Linked DNA regions of Coturnix japonica. The protein of the gene in region 5 purifies or fractionates together with the protein of the main gene of each other region. This does not show direct contact. Links are inferred from orthologs where the notes say so. Each region holds a gene or a part of one and is shown on either strand. Other genes may lie near its edges.

Region 1 (5,037 bases), on a different chromosome or scaffold from region 5:
TCCCTTCCCACCCCCAAAAAGCCCCATTGCCCCCCAGATTAGATTAGATGTGCTCGGCTGGCTGGATTTAATGAGGCGGGTGGCAGACATCTGATTTGCTCCAGTGACTTTTGGCTAACAGAGTGCATATGTGCTCCCATGGGTGCTGGGCATGGGGTGATCCCAGCCCTGGGGTGATGGGTGTGTAGGGTTGGACTGTAGATGGGGATCCCTATGGGGTTGGTACCCTAGAAAGGGGGCAGCCCCTTTTGGGGGCACTCATGTCCCATTTGGTGACATCCACTCATGCAATTTGTGTTGTCTCTGGGCAAGAGTGGCTGGGTTTTACTTCCAACCAAGTGCCCCCACAGCCATCCCCACCCCTATGGTGACCCCTCAGCCCTTGACCCTTCCTCCTCCTCCTCCTCCTCCTCAGGGTGAGGAGGGAGCTGCCCCCACCATCTGTCCCCCCTCGTCTCTTTGTCAGCATTGGGCTGCCTGGAATGCGTATTAATTTTGGGAGGAATGCAGCCCCCCGCATGGCCCAGCATTTCACCTCCCCCACCCCACAGCATCCCCACAGCTTTTGGGGATGAAGGGGAGGGAAAGGGGGGGGGTCCGCCATGGATAACTGAGCCACCATCGGGTGATGCTGCCCAGGCCTCTCTGCAGGGCAGGCTGTGGGCCAGGGGCTGATTGAACACAGGCTCAGTGCCTGATTAAACTAATCGGAGGGGGATTTTTTTTTTGGTTCTTGTTGTATCACTTCATTCGAGTTTGTCCTTAAAAGGAAACCATCGCTTGTGGGTAGGGGAGGGGGCTGGGGGGGGGGGGGGCTTTGTGCGGTGAAGGCTGATAAATGCAGGGTCCTTATCACAGCCTGGCTCCATGCAGTGCTGGCAGGGGCACAGAGGGCTGAACCCAGCGTGTGGGTGAGCAGCACAGCATTGAGTGCAGCATGCCAATGCCACCCAGTTCCCCTCACCCCCTGCCCACCGTGACTCAGCCTTTTGCCCACATAAGGCCACCCATTCTCCGGCCGCTGGCGCGTTCCTTCGTGTCCAATGCACAAAAGAGGCATTGAGCTGCACTGATCTGGGGATCTATTTGGCACCCACACGATGCCCACCCCTCACAGACCCCCTCTGGGTGCCATAGGGCTAAGTGGTAACGTGTCGTCCATCCGGGCTGGAGCAATGTGCCTTGGTTGGGTTGGGATGCTTGAGTACTGGGCAGCCTTGTGGGCAGCATGCCTGGCTCAGGCAGCAATAGCAGCTGCTTTCTGCTGTCTCACTGTTGAGTGTGTTGGCACAGGGTCAGGGTGGGCTGGCACCCATCAACACTGTGTCCAACAGCATCCCTAGCACAGCGGGTAGGGGTAAACAGCCTCAAACACACCGTATCCTCCCCACACCCCCAGCCCAGCTTGAAGTCCATGAGTTCCCCCATCCATCTCCTCCCCCCTCCATAGGAATGAGAGTTGGGATGCAGCAGGTCAGAGTGGGAGGGCGATGCTTTATTAACTTAGTGTCAATGCAGCGGATGCATCCGACGTGGCTCAGCGCTGTGAGCATCGTGTAGGTTGGGGATAGACATCCCGGTGTGCAGCACAAAGGTGAGGCTGTATGGAAATCACACCGCGTGCACCTGGCTGGGTTGGATGGGGCAGGAGGAGATGAAACGTTTAAATTAAATACTGCAATAAAGAGTGAACCTGGGGTACAAAATGAGGCTGAACCCAGCACAAGTATGGGATCTAGGGGCAGAGATGGAGCCTGGTTTCTTGCTCTGAGGTGTGAAGTCGTGGCCCCTCATTCAGCTGCGCTGCCGTGTGCATCCATTCAACAAGGCAAAACCCACACAAACATGTTACAAACCAAAAGGAAACGGGTGTGCTACGTAGGCAGTGCTATGGGAGGCGTCCGATTGTCGTGGGGGGCTGTGGGGGTCCCACCACCATCACTCCTCCCCCGAGGACCAGGGCTCCTGCTCTGGGTGCAGTGGAGAGAGCGAAGGGACAGGCTCAGCCCCACTGTGCTTGCTGGGCAGGGAGTGGGCAGAAGGGGCTTCACTTGGGTGGGTGATGCCATTCAGCCCCTCCTCGGTGAACTCAGCCAGGTCCTCCAGGCTGGCTTGTCGATGAAGCCCATTCTGCTCCCCATTCTTGGTGTGCTCTGGTTCTGCTATTGCCTCCTGCACTGTTGGCTGCTCATCACTGGATGAGGTGGGTGAGGACCCCCCTTCCTCCTCCTGTAGGGGCTGTGTGTCGCCATCCCCCTCCTCATCCTTGGCTAGCTTGGCTCCCAGTACCAGCTCCTGATTGAACTCTAGGGCTTGCTCTACTATCTCCAGGATATCTGAGTCTTTCACCATGTCCACTGGAAGCTGTGTGGGCACATCGGGGAGATATTCAGCCACCTCTATGCCAGCTCCATGCTCCAGCATAGTGCCTGGAGGTGGGTCAGTGTTGGAGGGGTCTGTGTTGGAGGTTTCAGTGGCTGGGGGATTGTCTCCATCCTGCACATCCTCCTCCCCCAGCCCCTCATCACTCAGGGTGGTCTTATCAGCGTGCTCTTCAGACAGCCCCTCAGCCATGGGCACAGCCAGTCCTTCCTCCAGCTCAGCAGCAAAACCCCCTGCATCCTCCTCATCCTCCTCCTTTGGCATCTCAAATTCTCCCATGGGCATTTTCACATCTTCAGCTTCCCCCACAAATGGCTCCAAGTGCTCTTCATCCTCTGGCACCGGAGAAGCTCCTCCAGGCACTGTGAGTTCATCCTTTCTGTCTTCTGCTGTTTCAACTTTAATTTCTTCAAATTCCTCTGAGTTCTCAGCTTCCTCCATGCTGGACCCCTCTTGGTTGGGAGCAGAAACTATGAAGTACCCTTCCTCCTCCTCAGTGCATTCTGGCTCAGGGTTCAGCTCCATCCCTGACTCCTTGCAGCTCTCTGGCACTGCATGAACTGCTGCCTCATCGCTCCCTCTCAGCTCCTCTTCCTCCTCCTGAGCCATTTCAGGTGCTGTCTCCTCATCCCCTCCACTGGATGGAGGGTTTGGATCAGACTCCAGCACCTCCCCACTGTATGCACATAGTGGTGTGCTGTTGAGCGTATCCTCCATTTCCATCCTGCACGGTTTGGGCTCCTCCAACTGAGTATCCTCTGACTGAATGTCCTCCTCCATGGGCTCATCATTCTCTGCACCATTGCCTGGATCCTGCTGCATCACTGCAGTGTTGGGGCTGCCTCTCTCCAGCTCAATGGGCTCCAAGCTCAGCTCCTCATCCTGCTCCTCCAGCACCTCCACTGGATCCTGTGGATCCCCTGGTGCCTCCCCAGTGTCCCCATACCTGATCTCCTTTTGTCCTGGGGCCACATCAACCTCCTGTCCTGCTGTGTCCTGTGACTGATGCTGGCTCTGCACCTCACTCCCAGCATCTCCCTCATCCTCACCCTCCTGGGTTCCCTCTGTTGCTGTCGGTGACATGACATCTCCCTCCTCATTTTCTGCTGCCTCCGCAGGTGGGTTATCATCCACCTGGGCTGGCTCTTGGGATGTGATGGTGTTGACTCCTGTCTCCTCTTTATCCTCCTCTGTCCCTTCCCAACCCTGTGCTTGCTGCTTTTCACTGATGTCATTGTCTTCCCTGCCCCATGCCCCCTCTCCTGGCTGCAGCACCATGTCCTGCTCCAACCCATCCTCTGCAGAGCCCTGCTCCCCATGCTGCACCCAAGGTTCCCCAGGTTCCTCCTGAGGGTCTCCAGATTCCTCCTGCAAGTCTCCATGATCCTCATTCAGGTCCCCATGTTCTTCCTTCAAGACCCCGTGTTCCTCCCACAGGTCTACATGTTCCTCCTGGGTGTCACCATGTTCCTTTTGCAAGTCCCCATGCTCCTCCTGCAGATCCCCATGCTCTATCTGCAGGTCCCTTTGATCCTCCTGCAGGTCCCTATATTCCTCCTGTGGGTCCCCATGCTCTACCTGCCGGTCCCCAAGCTCCTCCTGTGGCTCTCTGTGTTCGTCCTGCAGGTCCCCATGTTCCTCTTGCAGGTCCCTTTGTTCCTCCTGCAGGACCCCATGCTCCTCCTGCAGGTCTCTGTATTCCTCCTGCAGGTCCCCAAGCTCCTCCTGTGGCTCTCTGTGTTCGTCCTGCAGGTCCCCCTGCTCCTCTTGCAGGTCCCTGTATTCCTCCTGCAGGTCCCCATGCTCATCCTGGGTCTCCCCATGTTCCTCTTGCAGGTCCCTGTATTCCTCCTGGGGGTCCCTATGCTCCACCTGCAGGTCCCCATGTTCCTCCTGCAGGTCCCCATGCTCATTCTGGGTCTCCCCCGGCTCCTCCTGCAGGTCCCCATGCTCCACCTGCAGGTCCCCATACTCCACCTGCAAGTCCCCATGCTCCTCCTGCAGGTCCCTATGTTCCTCCTGGGTGTCCCTATGTTCCTCCTGCAGGTCCCTGTATTCCTCCTGGGGGTCCCTATGCTCCACCTGCAGGTCCCCATACTCCTCCTGCAGGTCCCTATGCTCCTCCTGGGTGTCCCCATGCTCCTGGGTGTCCCTATGTTCCTCCTGGGTGTCCCCATGCTCCACCTGCAGGTCCATATGCTCCTCCTGTAAGTCCCTCTGTTCCTCCCACAGGTCCTCATGCTCCTCCTGGGTGTCCCCATGCTCCTGGGTGTCCCTATGCTCCATCTGCAGGTCCCCATGTTCCACTTGCAGATCCCCATGTTCCTCCTGCAGGTCCCCGGGCTCCTCCTGCAGGTCCCTATGTTCCTCCTGGGTGTCCCCATGTTCTTCCTGTAGGTCCCTGTGTTCCTCCCACAGGTCCTCATTCTCCTCCTGCAGGTCCCCATGTCCCTCCTGGGGGTCTCTATGTTCTTCCTGCAGGTCCACATGTTCCTCCCACATGCCCTCAGCCTCCTCCAAGCCCATACTCTCCTGCCTCAGCTCTTTGGCTCCCAAAGCCTCCCCTGTCTGGGGGTCCTCTCCCTCTAATGCCTCCCTTCCTTTATCTTCCTCCTCTCCCTCATCATCCCTTGCACTGCCTGTGCTCTCCCTTCC
Region 2 (6,507 bases), on a different chromosome or scaffold from region 5:
CCATCCACCCTCGTCAGAGAAGCCCATGGAGAGCATCTGGGACAGAGACTCAATCAAGCGAGGGTCTGCTTCTGTCAAGAGAATGAGTTTGAAGTTAAAACGCTTCACATTATTAGCAAACCAGCCAAGGCTGTGGTATCACATGGTGGGCTGGCACTAATCCTAGCAGATCTAGCATAGCTGACAAGCGCTGGAAGACACTTTCCTCTGTATCCTATGAGGCAGACATTTTGAGATACAGCATATGTAACCTGCTAAGGAAGCAGCTGAGTTAGATCCATCTGTCCTTGCTGTAAACCTCATTGCCAGTGGTTTCAGTTAAGTGACCTGGCAGACTCCTAACTAGCTCTTGCCAGAAAAGTGTCTTAAGTTACAGGATGTATTGTCTACAGCCTGCATTAAAAGGCTCTCCAAGAGTACACAGCAAGGACACTGATTAGAGGCCACCTCTCTCATCCTGCTCAAATGGCATATTAGTACCAGTTTAAGACTTGCTGCCACCATTCAAGCAGAGAACATGCCTGTTCCTAACAGCATGCAGAGTGCTGCCAGAGCACAAGTTACAGTTTAACTTGTCTGTATGTGAGCTTGGTTCCTAAGCAGGTTTGCTTATATTGGACAAGTTGGCAATAAGTGAGAGCAACTTTAACTCACGTGCAACCTGCATGCATTCTCGTACCTGGTGGGAGATGTGGGTAGAGTGCAGCCTCTCTCAGCCCTGTAGGTCCTGCCTGGGGAGCTTCCTGAGCTACATCTAGGGAGCTGGGATCATCTGTCTCTGGCATTTGTAGAGACTGCAGTTCACCTGTGGAAGGATCCACTTCTTTGGAAGACAAGTGGGTCCAGTCCTCGTCACCCCCTGATGAACTGCTTGACTCACTGTGTGCCTGAAATGGAAAGAAAGGAGGTCCAGGTGCCGTAGTGCTTTCCAGGTAGGATGCATGCTCTTACTATCTGCTTTTAATAGGAAGAATTACATTTACAACAAGTCCCACCTTTGCTGTAAACCAGTAAAGCAAAGTGCCATATATTCTCTATCTGCTGACAACTGAATCATCAGTCCCTCAACACATACTGAATTATTTCCTTTTCAGTAAGGCCTCAGCAAGCGTATTAAATTAATGCAGTGTTTCTTGTACCTGGGACTGGAGGCTGCCATCTTCCATTTGTGTGGGCACAGGATCTATCACCATGTCTTGTATCTGCTCTGTAACATTGTTTACTACCGTTGCAGAATCTGTGCTATTCCAGCATGGTTTGCTCTGACTGTTCTGATTAGCAGTACTGCTGCTTGACTCGGCACCGTTATTCTCTTGATTAGAAGCAGGAGTCACTTTGCTTCTCTGTCCTCCGTGTTCCACATCAATATCAACTTCAATACCTGGGAATACATTTGAGACCAAGAAAAAACCATTAGATTTTTGAAAGCACGGTTCTAAGAAAAAAAGCAAACTTTAATCCTGGACTAAGTGCTGCAGCATGACTGTAACCCTACAGCTCCCCATATAATACGTATGAATTCAAGTGCAAAGCGTTCTTTTAGTTAGCTCTGATGCACCAATTAGTCATCCTGCACTAAAAAGACAGGCCATGTGTTTAGAGGGTCAAGGCAGACCTTAAGTATGTGTGCCTAAGCAAAATACCACTGTAACATGATTTTAAATCATCGGTGATTTGGGGTTATATAATTAATCCCTTCCTTGGATCCTTACAAAGGACTCTGAAAAGGTACTGAGTAGATGGCCTATACCCACACAATTTTAGTACACAGAAACTTAAGGCTTTTGAGGCTGAGTAGCACAAAGTGGTTCTGGTACCAGCCACAACAGCTGGCTGCTGCTCCTGGTGGGAGCAAAGCCATTCTCAGGGATGGGGATGACACACCATAAGTCACTTACCCAGGGGGCTCAGAAAAGCTGCCACACTCTCCCCAACGTTCTTTAAGAAGGTGACATTGGGGTCCTGGGGCTGGCTGTTAGTAGAAGCTTCTAGAAGAACAATTTGTGTTAGTACACATAGCAGCCCATAGGGAAAGAGCACATCCCCAGGAATTCTTGGTGCTTGTTTTGTGTCACTCATCTGCACAGCACCAAGGCAGCAGAGAGACCAAAACCACCTCTGGAACAGAAGACCAGTGGCATTAGCACTGTTAAGGCTCATCAGCCATGCTGAAAGCACATCTAAGAGCAGAGCAGTGACATGCTTGACCTAATAGCTCTGCTTGGTCTGGTTCCAAATAGGCTCTCCATAACCTCATATATTGTGTGGCCACCAGACCACACCAGTGTCCTGGAAAGGGCTCATTATTTCACACAAATTGGATTAGTTCCCATGTCTATTTTCCCACCCAGATCCCACACTGGGCTGTGAAGTCCCAGCTTCTCTGGCTCCTCCACTACTATTCTCCTTTAGCAGACCATCTCCTCTTACCTCCAGCAGCGGGTGGACTGGAGGCAGCAGCACTGGCCTGGGCTTGTTCCGAGTTCTGGCACGGAGCTGCAGGTGCGGGATACCCCCAGCAGTGCATCCAGGGGAAGGGTGGAACACCATGCCGCATCTTACGGAGCCAGCGCCCTCTGGGAATCCACTGCAAAGGGTAACGTTCATGGGACCAGGTGAAACTTAAAGCTTACATTTGGGCAGCATCCCTTTTGTTGGTTCTGCTCCATAGGTTTTGCTCACCTCAAACGGATTCAGCAGCGGGCTCTGAAACATCACCATGTTGTGCTCCTTGTGGATGCCTTTCCCCTCACAGGTGCTGCACAGGTCGTAGTCTGGGCAGACGGTGCACTTAAATCGAGCGCCCACCACCGGCCCCTCGCAGCCGTCACAGATGACATTGGGGTGCACCATGTCCCGGGGAGGCTCCTGGCTGCACTGGGAGCGATGTTCACGCCTGCACTCCTTTTTCTCTATTAAGGAAAGGGATCTTTGCATCAAGAACGAGGGTACTATTTAAAGGCTGGAAATCGGGCAGAGGGGAAGGAAACACAAACAGCCCTTGTCACAGCAGTATTGACTTACTAGGGCAGTTTATTTTTACACTGGCTGCCAAACACAAGCTGGGGGCACATAAGAACATAAACCAAGTGCAAAGGGGTGGTTCAAGGATACCCGCTCTTCAAACACTTTGTTTTAGATCAGTGCTGCACCACCCTGCCTGGAGCATCCTCCTACCTTGTGGAGTGCTGCGAGAAGAGAATGTTTCTGAACAGAGCTGAGCAGTGCCAGGGGACACTGCAGGTGAGAACTGAGACAAGAAGGGCGGCCTACACTACTCACATCACAGCCTACAGATAAAGCTTTGTAGGTGTCCAAGTGAACAGAGCGGACTGGGGAATGATGTGCTTAGGAATAAGCTGGTTTTGGGGTTTCTTTACATGTCATGGCACCTGCTGGCAGTACGGCAGGGGGTTCCTAGGACCATCCTGAACACTGCAGCGCTCACTGTGCCAACCCAGGCCCCGGAGCCAGGAGGAACCCCTGCACACAGTGGGTCTGTGCCCGTCTTTACCTCGCCCTTTATGTAACCTCCCCTCTGAGCTGCAGCACGAGGATGAGGGACAGGACCGGGATTTTCCCGGTCTCGGAGCCGTGCCAGCAGCACAGAGCGCTCGGTGCCACCGGGCTGCGGGGCGTTACCTTTGATGTACACACGGAAGACCCCGTCCTGCACGTAAGGCATGGCCATATCCAGCTCCTCGTCGGTGGAGAACGCGATCAGGTCCCCGTCTTCATCTGGACAGAGCAGAGCACACCGTCAGGCGCTCGGCCCGCACCCACCTCCCGGACAACGAAGGGGGCCCCGACCCACAGCGAGCCCCCCCGCCCCGCTCACCCTTGTAATGCATACGGAACGCGGGCGGCGGCCCGGCCCGCAGCAGCCCCTGGAAGAGCTCGGCGACGCGGTCGTGGACGGGCTGGTAGCGGACGGGAGCAATGAGCGAGAAGCGGCGGATCTCGCGGGCCGCGTCGTCCTTGCCCAGCAGGTAGGCCTTCACCGTCAGCGCCGCCATGGCTGTGGCGCAGCACGAATTGCTGCGGGACAACGAGCGGCGGGAGGCGGCGCGGGGCGGGCGGTGCTGCGGGAGGGAGCGGCGGCACCGAGCCTTATAGAGCGGGGGGACGGGCCGGGGTGGGCACAGCCCTGGGTTAAACCACGACCACTGCCATTAGGCACCGCCCCGCCGCCTGGAAATACAGAGCCCATATTCGCCCCGAAAGTAATGCCTCCTATTTATCTGCATGGAAACTACAACAGCTACAGAGATCACAGTGACGCTGTTTGACAGAGCAGGTTCTCAGCTACAAAGCACTGTTTTTCAACGCGGTCACCACCACTGTGCTGTGCATTGTCATCAGTGGTGAACACGAGGCTGCATGCTGCTCTACAGGTGACTGTGAAACACACGGCCATGCCGTGCTCACAGTGCTGTGCTCACAGTGCTGTGCTCACCCACTCGTTGGGCTCCATAACACTCAGCAGCTGTTGGCTCCTTCACCCTCTGCTGCCATCCCACCTGCAAATGGGAGGCATTACTTTTGGAGCAACCCCTTTGCCTCAGCTCTGTAGCACTGATTCCCTCCAGCCCACAGCCTGGCTGCCCACCTTGGGCTGAGGCAATCACAGTGTGTAAGCCATGCTGTGCTGCACTGCAGGGTGAGCGTCCCCCCACGATGGGTTGTGTGTGCCACAACACGGCCTGCCGTGTGGATGTGCCCTTGGTGCACATGTGGCTGCTCTGGGATCACAGCACGCTCCTGGGACGTGGCACTCGTGCAGCATGAGGTGACAAGTGAGAGCTTGGTGTGAGCCACAGCCAGGCATCAACATGAGTCCTTGCTCTCCTCCATGGGCACTTCCATCCAGTAAACATGGAGAGCGTCCCATCTCAGCTGCCTGCTGAGTCACGCTGGGCTCTCTGGCCGTGACATCATTCACTTTCTCAAAGCACAAAGCAAACAAGGCCTGCGGTGAGCAGTGAGCTCAGCTCAGTCACGGGACGGGGTGACTCAGCATTCCCTGCTCCTCCTCGAGGTGGGGATTTCCTCCTCCAGGCCCTGACTCTGGTGTTTCCCCGTGGCCTGGTGCTTCGGCCCTGCCGTGCTCCCATGTATTCCAATGGCACTCACTGCATCCTCCCATCCCACAGCCGGACGGACAGACAGATGTCTCCCCACCAACCCCAACTGCACACTGCTCTGCAGCCTGAGATTTGGCTTAAGCTCTTGTTAACCTGAGCCTGTATTAACCTGGAGGACCCAGGCCTGGAATTTATCTGGCAGCACTGAATGTTTTCTTGCTCTTCTTTAGGAACCACATTCCATCCATAGAACAACCCTTGCTCAAAAAACCACTTGTCAGCCCCGGCTTATGAGCAGCTCCCCAGATGGACGGAGCAGGAGGACAGCAAAGAGGATGGGAATAAAACTGTTCCAGTTTCACGACTCCAAGTTGCAGAGGGAGGGCTCAGAAAGGAGCATTCAGCAGCCCCGCAGCTCTGCTTCCTCCCTCCACCCACCTTCTGCTGGAAACTGTTTGCAAACGTTTGCTGAGATTGCTGCTCCAAAGGCTCAGTCGTCAGTAGTGCTCCTTCTACCCAAGCTCTGCACTGTCACAGCAAAGCCCTGCTGGGATGCTGCTCCTGTGCTCACGGACCACAACAGAGGCTGCAGGAGGTTCTGCAGAGGGAATCATTATCCAAATCACCACCCAAGGGGCTGCAGCTGGGCTGGGAGGGTTTGCCCTTGTGCAGAGCTGCAGAGAGCAGGTGCTGGTGCTTTCCAGAGGCTTCTGGAGAGGGATCCTCCGGATGTACCAGGTCAGATGCTGGTGACTCACCCCGTCCCGTGACTACTTCCTCCTCCAGCCCTGCAGAAGGGCTGCCCCACCACCACCGTGCCTCCTTCAGCCACACCAGGGCACAGAGAGCTGCATGGGGCAGCTCCTGGCATCCAATCACCATCATAACACCTTGCATCCATCCTGCCCCCAGGGTGTCACAAATGCATGCTTACACATACACGTATACGCATACATTAATAGGTGTACGTGCATTAATACAGAAGTACATCCCTTTTTTGGTGGTAGGATCATATTCAGACACGTTGCTTTGGAAAGCTGTGTGGGTGGAAGGGGAAGCCGAGCTGTCTTTTTGCTGCCTCATTTTGAGGTTTGGATTTCTTGAACCTGGTGGTGGTTACATGGGATCAGCACCATTTGTCACTGGTGTGACACAGCATTTGTTTTTAAGGGAGGAAGACACGGACAGAGAGTGAGGAAGGTGGGCACAATGTGCGGATGGGAAGCACAGAGCACAGCACACATCTGTGCTATGGGAGCACATCGGAGCTCCGTGTTTGCACAGGTGAGGTGGCACTTTTTCCTACCTACATTCATTGCCTGCAGTGAGTGCTGTGCTCACAGTGAGATTTGTGACTTTTGCCCCACATGAGAGGCAGGAATGTCTGAATACAGCAGCCTGTGGGCACCAGGCAGTGAGGTGA
Region 3 (5,914 bases), on a different chromosome or scaffold from region 5:
ACCCTTTTAGCATCCTGACCTTTCTTGATTCTGAATCATGAGAAATCCACCTAATCACTGCTTCAAAGACGTATCTTTCATTTCCAACGTTGAGCTTTTCCATCGACAGCACTTCTTTCAGTTTTTGAGGAGTCAGTTCCAAGAATTCCTCTGTGCTGCTGACATCTCGAAAATGAGTTTCCAGATACTCTGAGGCAAGGTAGTGAACATGATGCAAACAATAGTGCAGTGCAAAGTCCCGAATACCAATACAGTTCTCAGCAGCTATGCAACCTTCTAAAAACTCACAGCAGAGAGTTTTTAAGTCTGTAAGCAGCAGGAGATCAGCTGCCTGTACCACATCTTGGATAGTTTCTTCATTTAGCCTGATCTGCAAGAATTAATTTAGAAGTTATCGCTACTATCACCCGTTTGCTTCATGACATGTCCATATTCACTACAATCATTCGCAGCAGCTGGGAAATGGAATATTAACAGCATTGCAAAAATTAAGAGAAATCAATACAACCACTATACACTGATAAATTAACCAAGGAAGGGGAAGGGATTGACTTGACAGAAGGTGTCAAAGCAGGATTTTGCACCTGAGGGAACCATGAAATTGCTGCTCTCATCCAAGAGCCTACAATGGATTTTTCCGCAATAAATTAATTACCTTTAAACAAGAAGCAGCACATCCAGGAAAGAACCTCAGGATGTATCTGCTTCTTTGCTTTTGCCTAAAGCTCAAGTAGTTCAGCCATCACACTCTGAACTGCACACATTGACTCCTGCTAAGGCTACTGGAATAAAGACACAGTGGGCACACGGCCAGCAGGAGGCCAGAGAACCAGACAGAATGCCTGCAGTTCTTTAATATATGGGGTCAGTGATGGGGTCTCAGCTTCCACTGCTGTCAATGCAGTTTGCTTTTCTGGTAGTGAAAGTATTCATACATTAAAGCAGGCTACTGAAGACAGTTTAATACAAGTATTTAAAATGGAATTTTTCAGTCCTCTTCCACAGTGTGACAAGAGAGAACTCCTTGCAGAACTTGCTGCCTCTATTTCACGGGCAGAACCTATATGAGATGTACCACTCTGCAGTCTCTTCATCGCTAATCTTTAAAGTGTGATCCCCAATGGATTTATCTTCTGCTATAGTAACATTAAAACCCAGGTTGTTTTGTCAAACAATTCAATTTCCATCTAGTTCTTTTTAATACCATACCTGCCCACTGAAGATGTAATCTAGTATCTCTTTCATGATATCAACAGATATCCCTTCAAGTTCAATCTTGTACGTTGAGCCATCATCCTTTGGAGGGTTGTAATTCAACTTCGTTCTAAGAGAAGAAGGGAAGATGAATCAATAAATAAGCAGCACTCAAGAGCTGGGCACAGCATTTCTTTCTAAAGAAAAATGACAGCAGGAAACTGTGGATCACATTCGCTAAAACAGGAATGGTAAAACCTTACAGTATAGTCTGAAAATTGGCACGAAGAGATTATATGTGTGGACTCTGGTACTGCTCATCACACGTGCAGACCGAACAAAAGCAGGTTTAGCCTTGGAAACTACTTATGGCACTGAAGAGCCAAAGCAATTTTCTCCTGGCTCATTCATCCCAAGCATTCACAAACATCACTCACAGCTTCAAACAGAAGGGCACTTCTGCTGACAGGTGAAACAAGAATTTCCTTTGGTAAAGGTGAAACAAACTAACAGACAGCGCCCATTGCTTTCCCAAAACAACACACTGGAATGAGCATATGTGACTGAATGTACCCCAGCAGCACAACTCGACCATTCTGTCTGGGTTATGATGTTATCAGCCCGGTGTTACGACTGGCTGCAGCTGCACTGTGTGCTCACAGTTCTAGGAAACAGGCCATGTTCTGCTCAGCCAAGCTGTAAATATTCACCTGTATCAGCAGACACGTTTCTGGTGAGCAAGTTTCTTTAAAAACCCCGGAAAGTTTGGATGTGCTTTTGAATAGAATGGAGAAGAACTGGAAAACACCTTAAATTGTCACTGTCTTCTGTTACACACACTCACACTAAGCAGATATGACTTCGCCAACGGCCAGATTCTGCTTCACTGACACTCAGAATAAATCATTTTCTCAAAACATACAACTCGCATCAAATAAAATCTGAGTCTATAAAGAGTCTGAAGAGCAAACAAGGATGGCAGTTTGAGCTCTCAACCATATCTGCTGCCTTGTTTTCATGCTGCTCTTCTACGCTGTGAGCAGAACTGTCAGCAATAACTGCTCCAATCCATGCACATCACTGCAACAGCACTGACATTAAGCTGCTGTGCCCTGTGTTTGTGTAGCACCCAGCGCATGTAACAGAACAACAACATAATTTGGATGAGCAAATTGCTTATTTCCTAACTCTTGGAATGAGATTAGGAAAATTAAACACCTTCTGTAAATGGCCCACGTGTGTTGAAAGAACAGACACTGATCTGTGAACTGTCAGCTAGAAACTTCTATAGCAAATATAGGGCTCAAGCAATGCTGTGCAACTCGTATCCCAACCCACCCCATCCTGCCCAAGGGGAACAGGCATTTCCCAAACCTACAAGCTCCAAATGAAGGAAGGAGAATCTGCACACACAGACATCCATTCCCAGTTCCAGGGTCAGGTTTCTAGATGCAGATTTTCAAGTCTATCCAAATTACCTCAATTTCATGTTCGTTGGTTACACTTAAGTTTGGAGTTTCTTGTTTGATAATGAAAGCTATACATTTCTCTCCTGGGATTAAATGGCATTTTTGTTATTAACACCAAACAGATCTACGTTAGCAGTGCCTGGAACAGCAGCCAGGTGGGATCCATTCCACACCAAGAACCTACGGGTAACAGCTATGGACCAACACCGAACCAGGGCAGCCAATGCACAGTGGGTTTTAAACCAAGGGCAAGCACATAATAAACACATTGCATAGCAGCACTAATGAGGAGATTAGGGAAAGGACTAGCACTGCTTATCACTAACTTTCATCTCAGCATCACCAGCCCACACCCAAGCTAAATCACCTTGTTGCATGGACTTTACACTGACACCTCCTAGTAACAAGGAAGCATTGCCCAGAGCTTTGGGGTCTTATCAGGCTCTGTGTTCTATTTCCTGTGTGTTTCTTCAGGGCACAACAGTTGTTAACCTGAAAAGAAACAAACCAATTGCAGATACTTCCCCAAAACACAAACAGAGCAGAGAGAAAATAAACTTGAGAGAAGTCGTACAGTTACAGTCTCTTGTATGCAGACAAACACGCACAGTATGCAAATGCTTCCCACTCAGTTTCCAACGACGCTGTGCTCCTATCATCTGAGAATAGTAGTTATCCATCTGTCTCAGAGCCTTAATTTGCTCGCTAATGAACTACCGGGTTCCCTGTTTTGGCACAAAGGTGTCTGAGCCGTGACACAAGAACCACTCCCAAACAGCAGCTGGATGGCTCATAGGGCTGGAATAGGCTAAGATAGAAAACTGAGTGTAGCAGCTTAGAGAAAACTGGAAGAAGAGGAAAAAAAACGGGGTACATAAGAGGAAGGAAAGGGGACTTTCCTCTTCTTGCACCACCTGCACTCACTCCTCACCAGCAAACAGAGCTCAAGTGCCCTGGTCACAGCACATCCCACTCTCAGAACCAGAATGTTTCCAAACATGTTTGTTCCAAGCTCAGGTGCAGAGCAGACGGCAGTGTGCAAAACACACAACCTGCTTGGTTCTCCATCAAATCTCAGTCTAAAAGAAAAGCTCCAAACCATGTTTGAACAAAGGTTTCCAGTCTGTCCATATGCCACGATGCTCCTTTCCATAGTGATTCATTCTTCCTATGATCTGCATGGATGAAATCTGGAAACCAGCAATGGACAGCAACGCGCTATGGCTGCTTCCAATGCATGTGAGAGCCTCCTGCTAAGGACAACATTTCTCATGACTTTAAAAGCACTCTGATTTGCCAAACCATTGCATAAATAGCTGCCTCATTCTTCTTCAGCTCAGAAGACCGACCAGACCATCCAGATTTGGAAGGAAATAAAACCCCGTGGCACAGAGCACAGCCCAGATGCGCACAGAAAACAAAGCAAGGGAATTTCTTAGCCTTATTTTCTCACTTAATTCAGTTCAGAACAGCTTGACTCCATGCATACGAACAAGCCCTACTGTGCTTGATGCTGTGTATCTGTCATAGACAGATTTAGAATCTACTTGTCCACGTCACTTAAGGAGCACAATCCTAATGAGTCATCTCAGATGTCACTGCATAACACACAGCAAGGAAACCATCCCAATACCTCTTCTTGAGATGTGAGCAATAAGACCAGCAAGTTAAATGAGAGCAATGCAGTCCCCACAGAGAACACCCCAGACTGCAGTTACTTGAGTAGGTTTAAGACATTTGTAGTGAAGAACAATTAGAAATTGGGAAACAAAGCCAGTTGGTTTGGTTTTGGTGCTTTGCAATAGGAGGTTATAACAAAACAAAGCTTTTGCCTACTTGGACATCACCACACTGTTAACAACGCAGCTCTGCAGAGCAGCTTACACAGCTGTGAGCAGCCAGATCCCAGCAGGCAAGAGGGAAACACTCTTCTTTCTAAAAGTTGCCTTTCCAAATTACTGATTTAGCTCCAGATTAATCACAAGGGCCAGCCTACACTGCACAGCCTCTGCCAATGGACGCTATTCCATCTCAGCACTGAAGTAACAAGGCTATCCTTCCAAATCAAAGCACAATAAAAGCCATTTTTGCTGACACATCCTTTATCTGCACCAGCGCTGTGACCTTCTCGAGAAGGCAGTTTCAAATGGAGCTGTATCTCTGACACAGCTGCATCCCAGGCCAGTTGTGGCCTGGACACCAGGAGGTGGCCATGGGACACCAGAGAGCACAAGCCTGTGTTGAAATGGACCACAATGATCATCCAACTCCAACCCCCTGCTGTGTGCAGGGTCTCCATCCACCAGCCCAGGCTGCCCAGAGCCACATCCAGCCTGGCCTTGAATGCCTGCAGGGATGGGGCACCCACAGCCTCCTTGGGCAACCTGTTCCAGTGCGCCACCACCCTCTGTGTGAAGCATTCTACCTGCAACATTTTTCTTCCACCTAAGCTGATCTTTTTGCATGCAAAGAACCTTAATAATAATTTACACCGTTAAATAGGTCACACACAACAACATGATGCAGCAGTTCACTCCACCCACTGCCCTCCTCCAACACGGCACTTTGCAGCCAAATGAGAGGCTCTCCTGGAGGTTGCGCCCTGGCCTTCAGCAGTGCACATAAAAGACTGACTGTCTTCACCACACCCTGCAATGGGTGCCAGCTCTCGGTGCGTTTTGGCTGTGCCTCGGCTACGTCTTTCTTTTTATGATCATCTGTAACTGCAACTTCTGGTCTCAAGGCGAGATATTCCACCCAACAGCTCAGCATACAGATCTGCACAAGTTGCTTCTTTTGGTTTAAAGGGGAACAATGAGGAATAATCTGAACTTCCCAACAGAGAGAAAAATTCAGTCAGGCAAAAACTTAAGGCTTTTTTCCCCTTCTATATGAAAAAAACCAGAATGAAATGACACACAAAGTGAATCCTTCAACAGCAGCACAGGGCATGATCACAGCTGGTGGGCTTCCCTCAATGAAGAACCTCTTTACCAGCCCTGGCTGCCACCTCCTCACAGGAAGATGATTATCACATTCCATCCCATAACAGAAATACCTCTAAAAACATTGTATTTCCGTGCCATTTGTTTTAGATGGGTCATTTGTTCAATTGAAAAGGTGGGAAGAAATATTCAGCCTCCACAGCAGGTGAACTCCATGCAGCACTCATCGAGGCTTTTCCTCAGCGACTTCAGTGTCACATCTGTATCATTTCAGAACTCCAGAGCATGTTCAAGTCCACCCACTGA
Region 4 (5,914 bases), on a different chromosome or scaffold from region 5:
CCCTAGAGTAAGTTGCAGACTACAAGTGGGTTTTGAACATCTCCAGGGGAGACTTCACATCTTCTCTGGGCTGTCTGTTCCAGTGCTCCATCACCCTCATAATAAAGAGTTTCTTCCTCATGTTTGTATGGAACTTCTGGTATTCTAATTTGTGACTGCTGACCCTTGTCCTGTTGCTGGACACCACTGAAAAGAGCCTGACCCCATCTATTTGACTTCCACCCTTTAGATATCTGTAAGCATTGATAAGATCCCCTCTCAGTCTTCTCAAGGCTGAACAGTCTCAGGGCTCTCAGCCTTTCTACAGAAATAATATGACATTGCTGAGCTGAAATGATTAATTTTAAAAGAAAATGACTTTAAAGATTGGAGGACTCCACACCTCACAGTTGGAAAGCAACTGAGGTTCCCATGTTCCACTCTATTGCAGTTTACTGGGCTGTTTGCAGCAGTTAGCTGACAGGAACACAGTGGAGCATAGGAAACATGCAGTATAATATTGCAGAATTGTGGGATCAGATTGCAGTGAAAGAGTTTCTGTATTCTATATCATTCTACACCTATAGATAAAGCAAGAAAATTTCTACAGCAAATACCAAGCTATAAAGTTTAATGTAAATGAAAAGCATTATTTCTTTAAATTCTTTTCTTGTCAGAGACAAACATGCTGGATAGAACTCCCCCCCCAACCCCCGGCCCTACTCATGCAAGAATCCATTTACAGTAAAAGTCAAATTTGCATTTTCTTTCCTATAATTGTCAATACCTTAAAGAGTAAAGAAAGAGTATGACGTTATAATTTAGCGGTATGAAAATGCAATCTAAATTAAATCCTGTGTTAATATAGGATATTAGCCAAAGCACTGAGAAGGCTTATGTCTTAGTCTATAGCATAGTTAAGGAATCTCATGCTCTTAAAAATATATACTTAGTTGTTGGTTGTTCTTTCAACTTCAGTCCACTTTTGGTGAGTTTCTTGATTGTTTCATTTCTTGTCCTTCATGACTGGTATGCAGACTTTCATCAAAGAAAACATTTGTTTAGAGCCGCGTGGAATATAATATTTAGCTTCAGAAAAATCCAGGTGTTGAATTATTGAGATCAGCTACATCTTCCTCAGGAAAGATTCCTTCTGTTAATCAGAGTGATACCAGCCTGTGGGTCGTGGTTTCCTTCTGCTTGGAATCCTGTGAGGAGAACCTCTGTGTTTCTGACTCCCTTCCCTGTATCTAGCTCTCAGTCTGCCTCTTAGGGTTCAGGACTAGTTACTTTATGAGTTGACTTAGTGTGTATTTGAACAGACATTCTAGCTTTACCTGATGAAATCAGTGCTCAGCATAAGGAGGTAATCTTTGGTTCAATGTCCAGATGCTATAAAAAAAGTCATGTTTTCAACAAAGTTTACTTTGCCTTGTCCCCTTTTTTCCTTATCTTTCTGAAGGTCACTCCTACCAAACTTCTGTTCACTGAATGCTTTGGACAATTGTCTGGTTCTACCAGGTTCTGTAATTTCTGCCTTTGCATAGAAATATATATCAGAAAATGTGTTTAAAACAAATTCCTCCTGTTTGCACAGTGCAGGAGCAGAGTAAGCAAGGATGTGCTGCAGGGGTGAGAGCTGAGATGTTGAAAGAGCAATGGAAAGGCTAGTGGGAGACTGCAACAAAGCCATGCATATGAAAGGCATCAGGAAGCAAGCAGGAATCCAGCATGTAATTAGTAAAATATCACGAGGGCCTTGAATTATTTTGATCTGATTTGTTTTTTTGGTCATAGGGGAAGTAACCCCAGGATTGTCACAGGTGGAATATTCTCTTCGCCGGCACAAACTGATGACATTGATCCAGAAGGAAGCCCAAGGCTGGGAAGGATTGGACCACACGGTGATTCTGCTATCCAACCCCATGTACTACATGAGCAATGACATCCCCTATGTTTTCCACCAGGACACGAACTTCCTGTATCTCTGTGGGTTCCAGGAGCCTGACAGCATCCTGGTGCTGCAGAGCTTACCTGGCAAAGCACTTCCCTCTCACAAGGCCATACTTTTTGTGCCCCGGAGAGATCCGAGCCGAGAGCTGTGGGATGGGCCCAGGTCAGGCACAGATGGGGCCATTGCTCTTACAGGAGTAGATGAAGCGTACACTATTGAGGAGTTCAGGCACTTGGTGGCCAAGCTGAAAGGTAACAAAAACAAACGGGGGATGAGGTGAAGAGTGGGTCGTGGGGTCTGAATGGTACGTCTTTACGGTTCTGGGAAGAAACTGTAATAAGTAGGTATAGGCTTCTCCCTTAAATGCCTAATCTGTGAGCCTGTATTGGTGACAGAAGCAAAGAGGGTCTCACAAAGTCACAGAATCACCAAGGTTGGAAAAGACCTGCAAGATCATCCAGTCCAACAATCCACCCATCACCTATAGCTCTCACTAAACCATGTCCCTCAACACAATGTCCAAATGTTCCTTAAACACCTCCAGGATCGGTGACTCCACTACCTCCCTGACAGCCCATTCCACTGCCTGACCACTCTTGCAGAGTAGTATTTCCTAACATCCAACCTGAGCCTCCTCTGGTGCAGCTTGAAGCCATTTTCTCTAGTCCTATTGCCAGTTACACAAGAGAAGAGGCCGACCCCCAGCTCACAACAACCTTCCTTCAGGTAGTTATAGAGAGCAATAAGGTCTCCCCTGAGCCTCCTCTTCTTCAGACTGAACAATCCCAGCTCCTTCAGCTGCTCATGTAAGAGCTTTAAAATACTCTCATTAGAAGTAATCTATCCTTGTTGGATGACTGTAGAAAAGATGCAGGATCTTAGTTTAGGCATCTAAGGCTAACTAACATGAATTCCCACCTTCTGTCCCACATGGTCTCAGTAACGATGTTTGTAAACCGAGAGGCGGTCAGTGCAAGTAAGAGGCTTGTTCTGATGCTCCTGCCTATTCTGTGTTCAGTGTATTCACAGAAAATTTTAGTTAGGCTGACAACTTTAATATCCATATATTTTCTTTGGAAGTCCAGTGAGATGATGTAGAAGTGCTTCTCTCATGGGGGTTGTGCCTCTCCTCTGTGACCTGAGTTTTTTGGGTACGTATGTGAACACTGATGGGCACATCTCTGAGAAGTAAGGAACAATATAAACAAGAGAGCACGTATTACTGTTTTAGGCATATCTTTTTGTTTATAAGGCCAGAACCACTCTGAAGCACTGGAAACTTGAAGGAATTTATTCATAATAAATGTGAATATTTCATAACTTGAAAAATGATCCATCAAGGGAGTTTGTTAGTTCCCTCACCTTTGTTCCCGTTTAAAACATTCCTATGGGGAAACAGGCGCTAATTCTGATGTTCTAAATAGATTTTCACATAGGTAAATATGTTTGTCCTCAGTAAGTTAATCTCCTCTAAATCGCTGAAATAAGCAGTTGCTCACCAAAGATATTCCAAAGCATGGTCAATATGTAATGGATAAATGAGAGAATGATTCAAAACATGTCCCACTGCAGTGACTTGCTTGCCTATGCAACTGCAACCCTGATACACGAGCTACATTTATCTGTGCAAGATCAGTGATGATCAGAAAATCCAATATTTGCATACAAATGGGGATTTGTCAAATCTACATGTTATGCACTGCTAATTTTCTGGATTTTTAAGGGATCTCTAGTGTTATCTGATAGAAATTCATGACCTGTAAATACAGATTCAGAGAAAATTACCAGTGCAGCAACATGTCTAGCTTAGGAGGGGTGATTTTGTACAGTATGAGGAGGGAATATCTGAACTTACCTTCATCTGCATCAACATTTGTTTTGTATTCCAGGTGAGTCAAACAAGGTGTGGTATGATATGACTAAACCAGTGCATAAAGAACTGCACTCTGACTATATGCAGCCCCTGGTTGAGATAAAAGCTCGGAGCAAAAATCACATCCAAGGCATCCGGCATCTAGTGCAAAACCTTCGGCTGATCAAATCTCCTGCGGAGATTGAAAGGATGAAGATAGCTGGACGAGTGACATCGGAGGTGCGCAGTTGTGTACTCTCAGAAAGAACCAGTGCATTCCTTTAAACAAGAAAGCGGAGAGGGTGTTACAGCATGAGTTAGGCTGGAAGGATAAGATCTAATCTTAGTTACTGAACTGCTGTTTCTCAGCTATTGGCTGGGCTCAGCTCCCCCCATTTCACAAAGAAACACAGGAAAACAGCATGTACCACGAGCTTCTCTCAAGGGAACTTCAGCCAAGATGATCCAGAAGGTGTTAGACTTTGTTTTAAAGCTGTGTTTATTCAGGAACAGCAGTGCCCCTTATACTGTCTCCCCAACATCTACTCTCCTTCCCTGAGCTATTTTCTTCTCCATTTGTTCCATTGTTTTCAAGGAAACAGCGAATTTTAGGCATTCCCCAAAAGACAGCAGGTAACAGCAGGTCCTTTACTAACTGAAAGGTCCTTCTTCTTCTTTTATAGGCTTTCATAGAGACAATGTTTGCCAGAAAATCTCCAGTGGATGAAGCCTTTCTGTATGCAAAGGTGAGTGTGTTATTGTTGGAGGTGGGATGGAAGGGTTAAATGCTTCTTACCCTTCCAGGAAACTAGGAATGTCAGATCTCCCAATAATGAAAGAGAAATACATATTTTTCTGCCCCTATGGATATTTATCTTGTACCTGGTAGCCATACTAGTGCTGTTGCTCTCATGCATGGACGGGCTCCAAAGTTCAGTGCTCCTACACTGAGGATAAAATATTCTTCCTGGAGGTCTTTTGTTCATTGTTGTTATTTCCAAGAGTCAATAAAGATAGAGTCAAAGCTCCACAAATGGTTGTTGTGGATTTAAAGGCATTGAAAAAAAGGTAGGAGATTGATAAAATTAACAGAAAATAAGCTTCTTCTCTAGTCCGGCTTTGAAGATGCTGATCTGATTCTTCAAAGCACCTTGAGTGTTGTGGCAGGATACAAACTAATCCCATCAGTGATGGTCAGAAGCTACTACATGAAGGTTCAGTTAAAGAAATACACTGTGTGACGGAAGTTTCAGTGTGGGAGAAGAAGCAAAGGAAAGCCATGAGGAGAAAGAATTGGGAGGTCTAAAGAAAATAAGAGATAAAGGGGGAGACAAAATATAACAGTTAAGTCCAGAAAAGCTATAAAAGAGAGGGTTGGCTACATCTGTGTTTGAGTAAATGTGTCTCATGGACAAGAGTCCAAAGTGTGCCTTATCTAAGCAGACTGATAGCTCTGGAGACACACTAGCCCAGTAAATGAAAAATCCTGAGTTTGAACATAAGCTTTCAGTCAAGGAATCTTTACCATTTCCACCCACAATAAGTATGAATTCTGGGACGTTTGGATTTTCCTCTTCTTACTAAACGTGCAGAGAGATTATATCTTCAGTAAAGATAATTCACTGTAGATGATAAATCATACAACAAATATGATAACTGAGAAAAGAAATAAGTTACTTTTATGTTTTAGTTATCTGCTTGTTGCTTAGTACAGGGCTGTAGGTCTCAAGAAATTACTTCCTTTAAGGTGTGTAATTTTGTTACCTGTGTAAATCAAATGCAGTTTGTTTTCTACTATCCATTTTACAAACTATCACCAAGGCAATGAGGGAGTTAAAAAAAACAAAACCACAAAACAAGTCTTGGCGCTTTGTGGGAGAATTAGAAGGAAGCAAGTTTTCATTTATTGAAGGAGCTCTTCCTAACCAGGTGGTTGTTTGGTATGACTCTGGGAGAGCATTTTGGTGAAGGCTCTGACTTGTATACAAAAGAATTTCACCTTTCATGTCTGAAGAAGGGGATATCTAATTCATGTATAACTTGTTAGCAGCTGTAGTGTTTGCTTTTGTGGAACTTCTGCAGCTTTTGCAATAAAGTGTGAGGAATTCTTTAACAGTATTTTCCCCACC
Region 5 (4,958 bases):
CTAAACTCTCTGGCTCTGGCCCCGAGTCCTAACCTATGCATTTTCTGTATAGTGTTGTTTATTAACACTGTCTCCTTCTCTCTAAGGAAATCCGGGAACTGCAGGCTCAACTCCAGGAACAGCACATCCAAATCGATATGGATGTTTCTAAGCCTGATCTTACTGCTGCCCTGCGTGATGTTCGTCAACAATATGAAAGTGTTGCTGCTAAGAATCTTCAGGAAGCTGAAGAGTGGTACAAGTCCAAAGTAAGTAAAATGTGTTGTAGGATTATACAGATGTAGCGGGCATTCAAATGAATTTTAGGTAACAGTTTTGCTGTAGCACTCAGTGTTCCTTCTGTACTGAATGCTAGCACAGCCGCAGAGTAGGGTAGTCTTTAAACTTATTGATCTGGGAAGAATACAGTTGGAAAAATTACTTGTGCCCTAAGTGCAGCATCAAACTAATGGGCTCGTTTCCTGTTCTTCCCTATTCTTGGAGCTGGAGGCAGTTCTTAAGTATATACTTAGGAAAGGAATGAATAAATGCATGAAAGGATCTGAAACATAACAATCAGGAATAGAGAAGTTCAGTGTAATGTTCACGTTTAAATATTTCATGTGCTAGAACATCCCTGTAATGGCTTCAGTTGCTTCCAAATCCTGGGTCTAGAAGTAGCCTGTTACACCATTTTAATGAGGAGTTATGCTAACCAAACTGGGTGTTTCTACAGTTTGCAGATCTCTCCGAAGCTGCTAATAGGAACAATGATGCCCTGCGCCAGGCCAAACAAGAAGCTAATGAATACCGCAGACAGATTCAGTCTCTCACCTGTGAAGTTGATGCCCTTAAAGGAAGTGTAAGTAGATGATGTTCTTCCTGATGCAGCTTTTTAAGCACTGTGCTGTAGTTCAGTGGATGGACGTGGCTGCAGCTGATCTCCCGTACAAGGCAGCAGTGTACCCATCCTTCCTGAAAAAGACTCATTGGGCTCCATTTGTCTGCATGTACTGTGTAGTGCACTGCTCAGATTGCTGTACTGAGCTGGTCTTTCTCAAGGTGTAAACATTACAGAATGAGCTATACGAAGCCTAAGGGAGCAGTGGAAAAGTGCAGATCTTGTACTTTCTTGAATCTAGTTGCCTGAAAGGCTGGCTTGAAATGGAGGTAACTGTTTAGTACACCGGTAGACTCCCTCACTAAGTACTATCTGCGTGCTGACTTGTACTGTATGTGTTTGACTTACTGTGGGGGTTTGCTTTGCTGTCTGGTAGCATAATGTTAAACGTGTCTCATCAGACACCTCACTCACAAGGCTTCACAAGGGGAGGATAAGGAGATGATAAAAGGGGGGCATGTTTGAGCCTTTTCAGAAAGGATACTGTTGTTCAACTTCCCTTCATGCTTTTTCTTATTTAAGTAATGAAGGGCCTTGCCATTAGGAGTGGCTGAACTGTAATTGTACTTGACTTTCTTCTCTCCCAGAATGAATCCCTGGAGCGCCAGATGCGTGAAATGGAGGAGAATTTTGCTGTTGAAGCTGCTAACTACCAAGACACTATTGGCCGCCTGCAGGATGAGATTCAGAACATGAAGGAAGAAATGGCTCGCCAGCTGCGTGAGTACCAGGAGCTGCTGAATGTCAAGATGGCCCTGGATATTGAGATTGCGACCTACAGGAAACTGCTGGAAGGAGAAGAGAGCAGGTAAAAATCATATGCAGACACCTACTTTCTAGCAGTTACTGTTTGAGATTCTGTACCATTGTTTGACTTGATCCATCTCTTCTTTTCCTTCAGGATTAACATGCCTATTCCAACCTTTGCTTCTTTGAACCTGAGAGGTAAGCTGTTTCTTTTGGGTCTATGTAGGCAGCTGTTTTTAATCTTTAGCAAAAAGGTCATGGATAGTTCCTTTTACTCTAGTATTTGAACTGGTATAAATGCAGCTGTATTTGAAAGTCTTTCTTACACACAACTACAGTATTTGCAGTTACTTAATTTTGGATGAGAGGTGGTACTTTGTTCCTGGGTGTACACATAGGGAAGTATCAATATCATAACAAGTGATTTGGATTTCTGCTGAAGCTGCTTTAAGAGGAATAGGAAGAAAATAAATAGGAAGTAAAGCTAGTTTATCATTCATTATCATTCAAAGAGAAGAAGGACTTCATATACTAAACTGGGATTCTGAAAGCAGGTACTGACGTCGGTCAGTTTGTTGAGGAGGCGCTTCATCCACACTTTGGTAACAATACATTTTCTTCTGCAGAAACCAACATTGAGTCTCAGCCAATGGTTGACACTCACTCGAAGAGGACACTTCTAATTAAGACTGTGGAAACTAGAGATGGACAGGTTGGTGGTAACTTCTTTTTTTTCCCCTTCTTTTCAATTTCTATCTCAGCTGGTTCCTTTGCCCACTTCCGTACCCTGTGCCACTGATTGGTGCAATCAATACATGGCAGCGTCTGGCAGTCCAAGCTGCATGGCTGGGCATGCAGATGTAGCAAATGTACTTAAGTGGAATAGACCACAAAAAAGATCTGAGAACAGCTTGAGTGAGAACAGTCTCTCTTTAGAGGAGATTTGAGGTTCAGTTGAGTTACAGGTTCTCAAGATTTCTCCTGTCACATTAGAAAACTGTTGCAGAGGAAGCATTTATTAGAGGTGGGATAGTGTATTTGGCCTACATTGAAGTTGAGCTGGTTAAGCACGTGCAGGTACAATTTAAACTTCTCACTCGTAGGCAAATGCTGATATCTTAGTGTACATGTGCCACAGTTTGTTTCAGTTGTAACTCTTTATAACAGCTATCTTAAGCTTAATGCAAGTGTCTCTGTTTTTCAACAGGTTATTAATGAAACTTCCCAGCACCATGATGACTTGGAGTAAAGCTGAAGTGAAGATGCAGACTTAATGCAGGAGAAATTCTTACCAGCAAGGGTTTAAAAAGTTCATGTCTTAAAGAAAGAAACAGCTTTCAAGTGCCTTTCTCCAGTTTTTCCATGAGCGCAAGATTATTATGCTAGGAAATAGGTCTTAGATCTTGCAAACTGACTCTCCCTGAAGGATTAGAGTTTACAATGGAGTCTAGTTTACAAATAGCAATATCTTGTGCTGCAATACTATTTTTTAAGTATCTGAATTTAATAAAACTGCTTTTTCCAGCACAGTATGAGCAACCTGTCGCTACTTCAATAAATCTTTGGAAAATGGCTCTTGATGTGTTCTAATTTAACTTCATGACTTTCTGCAAAGCCATAAATTAATGCTGGAATTACTATACGGTTGATAACTCCAGTACTGATTGTGTGGAATATTGTTTTCAGATTAACTAGACAAACTTTTTTCCCCATTTAATGCTTAGGTTTTGGAACCAATTAAAATGTGGACTATAACTGGCAGATGCATAATGTATTGATACTTCTTATCAGTTGAATAAAATGATACTTCAAGCTAATAAAAATTAATCTTGCTTTCATATATCAGTTAATCCAGTTGATGAGCTAAGAGTACTCAAAATACTTTGGAGCTAAGCTGTATAAACTGTGGTAGATAAGTGAGACACGTAGCTCATGCACACCCTTATCTGAGACAGCACCTTTGCAAAATTAACAGCTGACTTGATGTATTGACTTCACTTTCCAGGAAAGATTAGTTCCCAAAGGCTTGTCTGTACTACAGGAACTGAAATGAAGGCTTCAGCTGAAGTAGTGGGTTATGGAGATGATATTTAAAGGGAAAAGAAGGAAAACAGCTTTCCCAAGCTATGCTGTGGCATCAGCTCTTTCTGAACACTTATCTAAAAGAGAAGAGATCCTCACTGATCTGTGTTTTCTGCTGAAAATCAGCCTCAGTGCAGCAAAATGGGGCAACTCCCATCTGGACTAACAGCCTCCTAGAGCAAAGGGAGAGGTTTCAGTTCTCTATGAAGGGTATTAGAAGAAAAGCAAAACACTTCAAATTGATGTAGTCAAGATACAAAAGTAACTTTTGTTCTGCATTACTTCTGTAGATCTTTCTGTAAGAATTCAGTAAGGTCTCATCTGCTGGATGAGTAAATGAGGACTGGAATTGTTCTACAAGTATGAACTGCATTTATTCCTTTTTCAAGGTGAAGACACAAAGGTTAAGTTCAGTGTTGTGCTGATGCTTTCTTAGGTGTGTGGGAGCTGATCTTTCTTTATGAAAAGATTACCCAGACAAAAAAAAAAACCAAAACCAAAAAACAAACAAAACCCACACACCTTTTTTCATCGCTATTAGTTAGTTCTTCCCTTTGTTTCAGGGCATGATGATTAACAAGCAGCACAGGGTCTGGTGGGAGGAGGCCGTAGGTGTGCACATTTTTATGCCACCAGCTGTAGCACCCAGCCAGGGGTTGTGCAGTAACCAAGGTGCTAAAGGGGAAGTTAGTCAGGGACAGCCTGGTGAGCAGGATACTCTCACTGAAAAGTGAGACTGAACCCAGCATCTCATGTAGAGGTTACAGATACAAGGCTTTTTATGTTACATACAACTACAGCTGAGAGATGCCCTTTATGATAGTGGTAGTTCTGGGTATGTACAACAGCTCATTGTGAGCACCTACCTGACACAAGCATCTGCAGCCTTTAAGGATAAGAGTGAGGCACTTCCATCCTGCTCACAGCAGCTTTGGGCACTAAGAGCTCATTCCTGCTGAAGTACAGGGGCGCACTGAGCAGTGGCACTGCTGAGCAGGAGGAGCAGGCTCTGCCTGGAGACAGCAGGAACCTGTGTGTGGCACATGCTGCTGGAGATCACCTGAGTTACGAGAGCCTTTCACACGCTGCTTCTCTCCCTGACACCAGTTGCCCAGTTCAGTTCTTTCTGTTGCCCTTATTTCCTCACCAACAAGATAAAAGTAGTGACAGTGTCAAGCCTGACAGCAAAGCAAAGGAGTTATTCCTGGCTCTTTTGTGTTCAGGGTTACTCACAGCCCAGAGAAATATG

What was found.
Region 1: the proteins of VIM (region 5) and NES purify together in Homo sapiens (affinity purification with mass spectrometry; 3 studies listed by BioGRID and IntAct, counting the BioPlex papers as one, with this or other methods). This does not show direct contact. The link is inferred for Coturnix japonica from reciprocal best matches to the Homo sapiens genes VIM and NES.
Region 2: the proteins of VIM (region 5) and SQSTM1 purify together in Homo sapiens (affinity purification with western blotting; 3 studies listed by BioGRID and IntAct, with this or other methods). This does not show direct contact. The link is inferred for Coturnix japonica from reciprocal best matches to the Homo sapiens genes VIM and SQSTM1.
Region 3: the proteins of VIM (region 5) and GAN purify together in Homo sapiens (affinity purification with mass spectrometry; 3 studies listed by BioGRID and IntAct, counting the BioPlex papers as one, with this or other methods). This does not show direct contact. The link is inferred for Coturnix japonica from reciprocal best matches to the Homo sapiens genes VIM and GAN.
Region 4: the proteins of VIM (region 5) and XPNPEP3 purify together in Homo sapiens (affinity purification with mass spectrometry; 3 studies listed by BioGRID and IntAct, with this or other methods). This does not show direct contact. The link is inferred for Coturnix japonica from reciprocal best matches to the Homo sapiens genes VIM and XPNPEP3.

What each region holds. Positions count from the first base shown.
Region 1 is NC_029540.1:615,458-620,494, reverse strand, and holds the end of NES (nestin), read right to left. Parts: coding exon 1,939-5,037; 3' UTR 1,475-1,938; downstream 1-1,474. UniProt on the Homo sapiens protein: Required for brain and eye development.
Region 2 is NC_029528.1:4,615,647-4,622,153, reverse strand, and holds the start of SQSTM1 (sequestosome-1), read right to left. Parts: upstream 4,094-6,507; 5' UTR 4,017-4,093; coding exon 3,839-4,016; intron 3,739-3,838; coding exon 3,643-3,738; intron 2,913-3,642; coding exon 2,683-2,912; intron 2,588-2,682; coding exon 2,431-2,587; intron 1,989-2,430; coding exon 1,899-1,988; intron 1,382-1,898; coding exon 1,140-1,381; intron 888-1,139; coding exon 680-887; intron 72-679; coding exon 1-71. UniProt on the Homo sapiens protein: Molecular adapter required for selective macroautophagy (aggrephagy) by acting as a bridge between polyubiquitinated proteins and autophagosomes.
Region 3 is NC_029526.1:13,703,268-13,709,181, reverse strand, and holds part of GAN (gigaxonin), read right to left. Parts: intron 1,325-5,914; coding exon 1,210-1,324; intron 371-1,209; coding exon 20-370; intron 1-19. UniProt on the Homo sapiens protein: Probable cytoskeletal component that directly or indirectly plays an important role in neurofilament architecture.
Region 4 is NC_029516.1:45,508,368-45,514,281, reverse strand, and holds part of XPNPEP3 (xaa-Pro aminopeptidase 3), read left to right. Parts: intron 1-1,776; coding exon 1,777-2,184; intron 2,185-3,822; coding exon 3,823-4,025; intron 4,026-4,468; coding exon 4,469-4,531; intron 4,532-5,914. UniProt on the Homo sapiens protein: Catalyzes the removal of a penultimate prolyl residue from the N-termini of peptides, such as Leu-Pro-Ala. Also shows low activity towards peptides with Ala or Ser at the P1 position.
Region 5 is NC_029517.1:18,024,357-18,029,314, reverse strand, and holds the end of VIM (vimentin), read left to right. Parts: intron 1-86; coding exon 87-248; intron 249-715; coding exon 716-841; intron 842-1,467; coding exon 1,468-1,688; intron 1,689-1,781; coding exon 1,782-1,825; intron 1,826-2,253; coding exon 2,254-2,339; intron 2,340-2,834; coding exon 2,835-2,876; 3' UTR 2,877-3,454; downstream 3,455-4,958. UniProt on the Homo sapiens protein: Vimentins are class-III intermediate filaments found in various non-epithelial cells, especially mesenchymal cells. Vimentin is attached to the nucleus, endoplasmic reticulum, and mitochondria, either laterally or terminally.